Linked DNA regions of Arabidopsis thaliana. The protein of the gene in region 2 interacts with the protein of the main gene of each other region in a pairwise test. Each region holds a gene or a part of one and is shown on either strand. Other genes may lie near its edges.

Evidence for each region. Proteins that work in one complex are often made in the same cells at the same time.
Region 1: the proteins of NRPE3B (region 2) and GRP23 interact in binary tests that used the Arabidopsis thaliana proteins (3 or more experiments, as listed by UniProt).

The regions. Positions count from the first base shown.
Region 1 is NC_003070.9:3,361,400-3,367,180, forward strand, and holds GRP23 (glutamine-rich protein 23), read left to right. Parts: upstream 1-2,032; 5' UTR 2,033-2,135; coding exon 2,136-4,877; 3' UTR 4,878-5,094; downstream 5,095-5,781. Other genes in the region: AT1G10280 (Core-2/I-branching beta-1,6-N-acetylglucosaminyltransferase family protein), read right to left, coding at 5,396-5,781. UniProt on the Arabidopsis thaliana protein: May function as a transcriptional regulator essential for early embryogenesis.
Region 2 is NC_003071.7:6,710,942-6,715,455, forward strand, and holds NRPE3B (DNA-directed RNA polymerase family protein), read left to right. Parts: upstream 1-1,953; 5' UTR 1,954-2,080; coding exon 2,081-2,529; intron 2,530-2,718; coding exon 2,719-2,956; coding exon of another isoform or gene 2,957-2,977; exon of another isoform or gene 2,978-3,172; coding exon 3,173-3,445; 3' UTR 3,446-3,668; downstream 3,669-4,514. Other genes in the region: FUT4 (fucosyltransferase 4), read right to left, coding at 1-103. UniProt on the Arabidopsis thaliana protein: DNA-dependent RNA polymerase catalyzes the transcription of DNA into RNA using the four ribonucleoside triphosphates as substrates.

The DNA.
Region 1 (5,781 bases), on a different chromosome or scaffold from region 2:
GCAAAGGAATGCCTCTGCGGCTACAACTGATTGTTTGTGTCTGCTTATATGCTCCAACGATTTGTTTAACTTATATGCATACCATCTCAGTTTCCTGCACATATCCAGCTAATCCCATCTGCTCTTATATCTCATCAATCAACAAGAAAGCTGAGTGAGACTTGTCAGCTGCAGCAAACATATGGTCTCGTTTATTTGTCCGTCTCGAACTTGTCCCAGGACATATTCATACATGCTAGGAAATCGGCTCCAAAACCATCAGTCGCAGCAGCACTCGGGGAACTCTGTGAATCCGCCGCTGTATCTGAGATTTCAAATCCAAAACCGGAGATAACCATATCTGAATAGAACCAAATTGACCGTAAAAACACAACGAACGACTCCAATAACAGTATTCCGATTCAGTAACCCAATTACTGACATCCTCTCGCCATCGCCTAAAAGTAAAAGTGAACATTTTTTTTTTGTGTATTAATAGTTTTAATTTCATCAAAGCAAAAATTGTTTTTGGAAAAAAAGGCCAAAACGCTTCCCTATGCCTAGCCAACAAATTATGGGCCGGGCCAGATGAGGCCCGTTTAATATGTTCACGAGTATAAATTTAGAGCATGGTTATAAGTGATACTCATAAAGTATTATTAAACATTTTTTAGTATTATTTATTATTTAAATTTTTTCAATGATTTTTAATGATCTTTTATGGTTATAGATGATACTCATAAAGTATGGGTATATGTGATTTTTTAGAATTTTTTTTTTCTCTGTTTTTTCCTGACGAATCAGTTGCCGTCACGTCACTCGATACTGGGTATTAGAAGTATCATTCCACTCTGATCAGGTCCAACTGTATACTCTGATCCATTAAACAATTATTGATGGGCTTCTGATACTCTGATTATATCAGCTATGTACATGGTCTTACCCCTTTAATATCATTATATATATCGTTACATATCGTATGATCAATCCCTTCTTGTTTCTTTTCCTGATAAACTTTTCTCCACAAAAAAATGGTTTCAAGCGATTAAGATTCTCTTGTCGTTACCCAGATCACCACGACGAAAACAGTTCACAAAGGATCTTCCAAGTTGTTCTAGTTCATTTCGCTGAAGTCTTTTTGTCGAGAAGCAATCACTACCGTGGAAGAGAAGAAGAAGAAGGTCACCCCAAACACCGATCTCATCAAGATGAAAAACGAAGATAACGCCAAGGATATTGCAAAGATTTTCCCTCTTTATATAACATAGGGCTTTGAGGCTGTCAAAATATGGGGCATGGAGATGTTTAAGAAGAAGATGAACAAGAAGTAAATCATGATTTGTTCCATGTAAAGTTCAACAAATTCCTGTTTTCACGTTATATGAGCATCTTTTCATATAAAATTTCACATATATCTTTAATACTGTTAATGATCTTTCTTCAAAAACTAGTATGCATGCAGTTCGAACATTTTCGTATAAAGTTTCAGTTTCAAGAAAGTTTGATTTTTTTCTTTATTATGGACTCGTTTTGAATATGAGTCAATACCGAGTTTGAATGTGATGCCGAGTTTTTCATAAAGATACTGGAACTTTTCCAAAACTGTTATTTACTTCCCGGACCCATATCTGCAATTTTCACAAAAAGCCTATTATGGTCCTAAATTTTAAACCCCACGATCACACCTTTATTGTATCATCAGAACCCACGCTAGTTTTGCACTCACACAAACCACGACATGCATGGCAAAATTTCTCGACTTCTTCAAGTGATATTTCCTCACTAGGATGGAAACTTTCCAACAACCATCCATATGCAGAGTGCATGCTTAGTGGTTGGCATCTCACCAGCTATGGATTATTTGAGACACGTATTATGGTCTGTTAATATCGTTTGGGCCTTTGAAGGAGAAGCCCTAAATAATCCAACCTTTCTTTACTTGTCTTTGGAATAACATTACACGTATTACCAAACAGCCCTCATTTAAACACTACGACGTCGTCCTTTAATTTTCATTTCGACATTACTTTTTAATAAAAGTCCCATTTCTTCACATCCAAGGGTTTAAGCCACGAGCTCGCTCTCTCTACTCCCACCATCGTCATTGGTTTCGTCTTCCTCTAACCTCTAAAACCCTAAATCATTTTCCCTCCACCATGTCTCTCAGTCACCTCCTCCGCCGTCTCTGTACAACCACTACCACTACCCGTAGCCCTCTTTCCATCTCGTTCCTCCACCAACGCATCCACAACATCTCACTTTCCCCGGCAAATGAAGATCCGGAGACGACCACTGGTAATAATCAGGATTCAGAGAAATACCCAAACCTTAATCCCATTCCAAATGATCCTTCCCAATTCCAGATTCCTCAGAATCACACCCCTCCAATTCCCTATCCACCCATCCCGCATCGTACCATGGCCTTCTCTTCAGCCGAAGAAGCCGCTGCTGAGCGCCGCCGCCGTAAACGTCGTCTCCGAATTGAACCTCCTCTCCACGCTCTCCGTCGCGATCCTTCAGCTCCTCCTCCAAAACGTGATCCCAACGCGCCACGGCTTCCGGATTCAACTTCCGCTCTCGTCGGCCAAAGGCTTAACCTTCACAACAGAGTCCAATCACTGATCAGAGCATCAGATCTCGACGCTGCATCAAAGCTCGCTCGCCAGTCTGTGTTTTCCAATACTCGACCTACTGTCTTCACCTGTAACGCCATCATCGCCGCTATGTACCGAGCCAAGCGTTACAGTGAATCGATTTCTCTATTTCAGTATTTCTTTAAGCAGTCTAACATCGTCCCCAATGTAGTCTCATACAATCAGATCATCAACGCTCATTGTGATGAAGGGAATGTCGACGAAGCCCTTGAAGTGTACAGACACATATTGGCTAATGCTCCTTTTGCTCCATCCTCAGTTACTTATAGACATTTGACCAAAGGTTTGGTTCAAGCTGGAAGGATCGGAGATGCTGCGAGTTTATTAAGGGAGATGTTGAGCAAAGGTCAAGCTGCGGATTCCACGGTGTACAACAATCTGATTAGGGGATATTTGGACCTTGGTGATTTCGATAAGGCTGTTGAGTTCTTTGATGAATTGAAGTCTAAGTGTACTGTTTATGATGGGATTGTGAATGCTACCTTTATGGAGTACTGGTTTGAGAAAGGGAACGATAAGGAAGCTATGGAGTCTTACAGGTCTTTGTTAGATAAGAAATTCAGAATGCATCCACCGACTGGTAATGTACTTTTGGAAGTGTTTCTTAAGTTTGGTAAGAAGGATGAAGCTTGGGCTTTGTTTAATGAGATGTTGGATAATCACGCTCCTCCGAATATCCTTTCGGTGAATTCGGATACGGTTGGTATAATGGTCAATGAATGTTTCAAGATGGGAGAGTTTAGTGAAGCTATTAATACATTCAAGAAGGTCGGAAGTAAGGTCACCTCCAAACCGTTTGTGATGGATTATTTAGGTTACTGTAACATAGTAACAAGATTCTGTGAACAAGGGATGTTAACAGAAGCTGAAAGGTTCTTTGCTGAAGGTGTATCTAGATCTTTGCCTGCTGATGCTCCAAGTCATAGAGCAATGATCGATGCTTATCTCAAGGCAGAGAGAATTGACGATGCTGTCAAGATGTTGGACAGGATGGTTGATGTGAATCTACGGGTGGTTGCTGATTTCGGTGCAAGAGTCTTTGGTGAGCTGATTAAGAATGGTAAGCTCACGGAATCTGCAGAAGTTTTGACTAAGATGGGAGAGAGGGAACCAAAACCAGATCCTTCCATTTATGATGTGGTGGTTAGAGGTCTTTGTGATGGTGATGCACTTGACCAAGCCAAGGACATTGTTGGTGAGATGATTAGACATAATGTTGGGGTTACTACTGTGCTGCGGGAATTCATCATTGAGGTTTTTGAGAAGGCAGGACGTCGTGAGGAGATTGAGAAAATTTTGAACTCTGTTGCCCGGCCGGTTAGAAACGCTGGGCAGTCTGGTAACACTCCACCTAGGGTACCCGCAGTGTTTGGAACCACACCTGCAGCTCCGCAGCAGCCTAGAGACAGGGCCCCATGGACGAGCCAAGGAGTGGTGCATTCCAATTCAGGTTGGGCCAATGGAACTGCAGGTCAAACAGCAGGAGGAGCTTACAAGGCTAATAATGGCCAGAATCCCTCTTGGTCCAACACGTCTGATAACCAGCAGCAACAATCGTGGTCGAATCAGACGGCAGGGCAACAGCCACCGTCATGGTCGAGACAGGCACCGGGATATCAACAGCAGCAATCTTGGTCTCAGCAATCGGGGTGGTCAAGTCCTTCAGGTCATCAGCAATCATGGACTAATCAGACAGCTGGCCAGCAGCAACCTTGGGCTAATCAGACGCCTGGTCAGCAGCAACAGTGGGCTAATCAAACGCCTGGTCAGCAGCAACAATTGGCTAATCAGACGCCTGGCCAGCAGCAACAGTGGGCTAATCAAACGCCTGGCCAGCAGCAACAATGGGCTAATCAGAATAATGGTCACCAGCAACCGTGGGCTAATCAGAACACTGGTCATCAGCAATCATGGGCTAATCAGACTCCTAGCCAGCAGCAACCATGGGCTAATCAGACAACCGGCCAGCAACAAGGGTGGGGAAATCAGACAACCGGCCAGCAACAGCAGTGGGCTAACCAGACAGCTGGCCAGCAGTCAGGGTGGACAGCGCAGCAACAGTGGTCTAATCAGACAGCTAGCCATCAGCAGTCACAGTGGTTAAATCCCGTGCCAGGAGAGGTGGCTAATCAGACACCGTGGTCAAACTCTGTGGACAGTCATCTTCCTCAACAACAGGAGCCAGGGCCTTCCCATGAGTGCCAAGAGACACAAGAAAAAAAGGTAGTGGAGTTGAGGAACTAGTTTGACAAACTCGCTATTTCTTCTGCACCACCATTCTCCTCATAGTTAATTTGGCTTTTGCTTTGTGGTTCCTATTTTTTGCAAACTCTAGTAGTTATTTCTTTAGGATCAACATCATAATCTACTACGTTCGTTGCCCTTGCTTCTTCACTTGTATGTATGGTTCTTTTGAAGCCAATGGCTTCTAAAGAGTAATGGAATTCAAAATCAGTAATTCGATCAAAACATTAAATTCCATTTCTTCCAAAAAGTGATCAAAATGAATAATATATTCGTAAATCTACAACTAGATTAGCTCTGCAGGTCGGCAGAAGCAAAACTCTTACATACAAAAGGCTTGACCATTACGATCATCTCTATAAAACCCCAAATAATGAAGAGATTATAACCAAAAGAATAAAACTATATAAGAAAGAAAAAGAGTCCTATGTTATGTATATTATATATCTCGTAGAAGAATCTCATCTCATCCCTATAAAAGAAGAAAGAAGAGGAGAAATGAATCAGTTTGTTTTTTCTCAAAACCCCAGGACAGTAGAGCTCAAATTCATAAGAGGAGCTAAGGCAGAAGGAGAGAACTTGCGAGCAAAAAGGAAGCATAACGAAGTTGGCTCTTCATTGTAAAGACAATCCGTCTCGTTTTTCCTTATAGATTGGAGAAACCCTTCTGTGATATTAGCTGCAGCATATGTAGCTGGATGGGGACCGCCTATGGACCAATCAACCCATGTCACGCTTCTATTTGCGTTCATTGAACCGTGAAACATGTTCAAGAAAGTAGGGATGTAATGCTCGTCTGGGTAACAAGCTGGTCTGCAGAATTGTTTGAACAATGAGTAGTATTTCGAGTCTGAGATGATGTAGATGGCGATTTTACGGTTTACTTCAAACCACTGAGACCCTT
Region 2 (4,514 bases):
CAGACAAAATTAGTAAGGTACTAAAGACGATGGTTATCAGAATTTTCGTCTTCAATCCCAAACCCTTGATAACTTCGCCGGAGATCTGAAATATATGATACATGTTGACTTTTAGTTTGTGAAGATGATTCAAAAAGAGTTTACAACGCTTATATAACTTGATTACAACTTTTAATGTCAATCACTGATCAATAAGATAAAACTTTGAATATTCTAATGTGTCATTGTTAAGTTGTGACTATCAACGAACTCCAAACGTGACTCTATTTTGTTTAATAGAAGAAAAGTCTTTAAACTCCAAATTGTGATTTTGTATTATATAATATTCAGAATTATCGAAGAAACTTCCTATGGGAGAGCTCTTGTGAATTATTAACAATTTGGAATCCAAACAACTAGGATTTGTCAGGCACGTTGTGAAGACCATGACATTGATGTATTGAAATATGCAATAATTTGTAATTACATAAATATTGAGATCTGTTTGACATGCCCAATCAAAACATACAATCATGTCAATAATTAAGTGATCCCAAATTGTTTAAACGATTTACCTTAGTGATCAAAGTCCTAAACTCGTTTAAAAAACTAATGGTCAAAAGATTCCTAAAAAATTGCAAGTAGGCCACGAAACATAGAGAAAGTGATATGAACTTTAAGTTTCTAACAATACACCAATAAAATTATGGTCCAGATTTTGATCTATATGTAATAGGTTCATGAACTTAGTTTTAAAAGTCACAAACGGTATACGTAGATTATTGTTAACATGAACGACTAACAACGACATAACACGCGCAATTCATATGACTCTAGATGTTACCCTTGATATTCACATGCATGTAAAACTCTCAATATGCTATTTGAAAGTCTCCGGGGGTTGCCACGTCATCACATCGCTCCAAAGGCCCCATTTGTTTTTTCATTTTTTTTTCCTTTATTAAATGTTTTTCTCATCGACCAATCGTCCTCTGACTTTTTTTATTTTGACGAGGGAAATGTATTCAGATTCGAGCGGAACCGCGGTTGGCCCGGTAAACCCGATGACTCAGTCACTAATCCAGTTTGGCTCCAACACTACAATCCGCTAATTTTCAATCAGGTAAATTTTGAAAATCTCTAATAAATTCCGGTAATGGTATAACCCGCGATATGGTACTACTAGTTGAAACCGTCGTGCTTAAAAATGTTGATTAAAATTCAACTTTTTTTTTTTGGCTAAACTGCAAATATCATATATATGAAAAGGATGGTTTTACAAGGAAGTTAAACCCGGAATTGGTTTCTTGGCAAAATAAAAATAAAAAAGGAAAGCAATATTAGAATTTTGGACCAGACATGATCAGTGCACTTAAAGCCCCAAAACCCACTAAAATTCTATTTTTAAAAATAATTTATATTTTCTGTTGGATAAAATATATTATATGTAATCTTTTAGATTTAGGTCAAGATTTAATTGTGTCAATGAAAATAAGCGGAATAATTATGAAAATAAGCGGAATAATGATGAGTACAACTTGTACATTGTCCGAAACCATTCACATAATTACCATTAAAATTAATTATGTAAAAAAATTTTAATTGTAATTAGAAAGAATAATTTTGGAAAAACACTATATAAAGATTAAAACAACAAATTTACCATTATTCTTTATGAACCAATGCATTTTTAATCCTTTTTACTCTTTATATAATGTTTTTAATCCAAGTTACTGTTAAAAATATGGAATTTCGATTCTTTTTAATATTTGTATTTCCAAAATTATTATTATGTAATTCAAATTATAAAGATTAAAAAGTCTTAAAATAACATTGGGTCATTATTTGAATTGATGTAAACAGAAAATCCATTGTAGACATTTTGACCATTCCCAATAACTGTTATGAGAAGCCTGAAAATGCCCAGTAAACAAAAGAATAGGCCCATATAGGCCCAACTTAAACTACTATAGTTCTTCTTATACCTTTTTCCACTCTCACTCACTTTGCTCTCTCCAAATTTCTTCTTCTTCTCCGGCGAAGAAATCGAAAAGTCATTACCCTAAGAGTCCCAGAGTCGTCAGAAGGAACAGCTTTTGAAATGGACGGTGTCACCTACCAAAGATTCCCAACGGTGAAGATCCGTGAGCTTAAAGATGACTACGCCAAGTTCGAGCTTCGTGAAACCGACGTTTCAATGGCCAACGCTCTCCGTCGCGTAATGATCTCCGAAGTCCCCACCATGGCAATCCATCTCGTCAAAATCGAGGTTAATTCCTCTGTTCTCAACGACGAGTTCATTGCTCAACGACTTAGTCTCATCCCTCTCACTAGCGAGCGTGCTATGAGCATGCGGTTCTGTCAAGATTGTGAAGATTGTAATGGAGATGAACATTGCGAGTTCTGCTCTGTTGAGTTTCCCCTTAGTGCTAAGTGTGTTACTGACCAAACCCTAGATGTTACTAGTAGGGATCTCTACAGTGCTGATCCTACTGTTACTCCTGTTGATTTCACTAGTAACTCATCTACTTCTGATTCAAGCGAGCACAAGTAAGTCCCTTTTCATCATTGTAGTGATTATTTGTTCTTTATGAATTGATTGGAATTGCTAAGCTTAGATATTACACAATGCTAAACAAAATTTGACATCTTTAGATGCCCTTTGCATGAGTCTTCCTTTTGGTAGTTCTGTGGCTTTTTTTTCTGCAGTTTCTTAGACTGTTATTGTTTTGGTTTCAGGGGAATTATCATTGCGAAACTACGCAGGGGACAAGAGTTGAAGCTTAAAGCATTAGCTAGGAAAGGAATTGGGAAAGATCATGCGAAATGGTCTCCTGCAGCTACTGTTACGTATATGTATGAGCCTGACATTATTATCAATGAAGAGATGATGAACACTTTGACAGATGAGGAAAAAATTGACTTGATTGAGAGCAGTCCTACCAAAGTGTTTGGCATTGACCCAGTCACCGGACAGGTTAATTTCGATGTTCTGTAAGAATAACATCTATACAAGTTTATAGCTTTGAGACTTCAATATGATTGTACTACTTTATAGGCTACCATGCTTTGAAATATATGTATGTGATGTGGTGTATGAATTTTCTTTAAGTGTTTAGTGCGTTTAGCTCATTTCTTTTGCAGTCTATTGTTTGAATCATCACAACTGTAATTATAATACTTTGCTTCTTAGGTTGTGGTGGTTGATCCTGAAGCATACACTTACGATGAAGAAGTGATCAAGAAAGCTGAAGCAATGGGGAAACCGGGACTCATTGAGATCCATCCGAAACATGATAGTTTTGTATTCACTGTTGAGTCCACAGGTGCATTGAAGGCTTCTCAGCTGGTACTAAATGCCATTGATATCCTGAAGCAGAAGCTTGATGCAATCCGTCTCTCAGATAACACTGTAGAAGCCGATGATCAGTTTGGTGAACTCGGTGCCCATATGCGTGAAGGATGAAATCGTAGCTCTTTTTTTACCTGTTTGATCAGGGTTTAAGTTTCTTCTAGACCAGACTAATATATTAACCGTAGCGGCACTGCCTTGTTTGATAGCAACATGTAAAGTGGCAGTCTTGTCTTTGTTCCCGACCTCTGACTGATCCTTGTGTTCCTGAACCTTGTTATGTTGGGTTATTTTTAGTCGTTGAACTCTCTCGTAATTGGCGTTTTTTTTGTTGTCATTGTTAAGAATGGGTTAGTTAATATAGGAAAAAAGATTTTAATTGATATTAATTAAGGTAAAAACAAAATATTAAACTAATATTGAAAAGTTTAATATTATATTAGTGAGATACTCTAACAAAACCAAGTTAATATTTTTCTATTAATTTATCTAAAAAAATAATATATATCCACATGTTAGATATATATATGTATACTTAAAAAAAAAATGTGAGTGGATGAAAAATATTTGTTTCTTCTTAATGCTGATACCTAGGAGTGTCAAAATGGGTAACCCAACTCAACTCAACTCATAATCAAATGAGTTTAAAGTTAAATGAGTTATAGGTTGACCCAACTCATTTTGTTAAATAGATTGGATCAAACTATAACTCATTTAATTTGATGAGTTGAGTTGTTAAATGGGTTAACACATTTAAGTAATAATTAAATTAATTTATTTACGTGTTAAACACTCAACTGTAATGGCTACTCTATGTCTTCCTCCTACTTAATTTCCAATGCTTCCGGAATCCTTATCTTACATTTCTCGACCACATTTTTGAGTAATAGTAATAGGCTAAGGCGCTCGCCGTAAATTATTTAAGTGCACCTGAGAGTAAATGAGTCAATAGGTCAAGTTGCTCCAGGTATGAAATTCACGAATTAAAAATGCTGTAATATACTCTTTCCCATAACTTCTCATACCAGACCAACATTATTATTATAAAACAATAATAAATAATAATTATTATTAATTCATTATCATCAAACTTATGATATTTACGGATTCCACTTTTTACGGGTTTACGTTTTTGGCGGGAAAATCTTGGATTTACGTTTTTGGAGGGAAAATCACGGGTTTA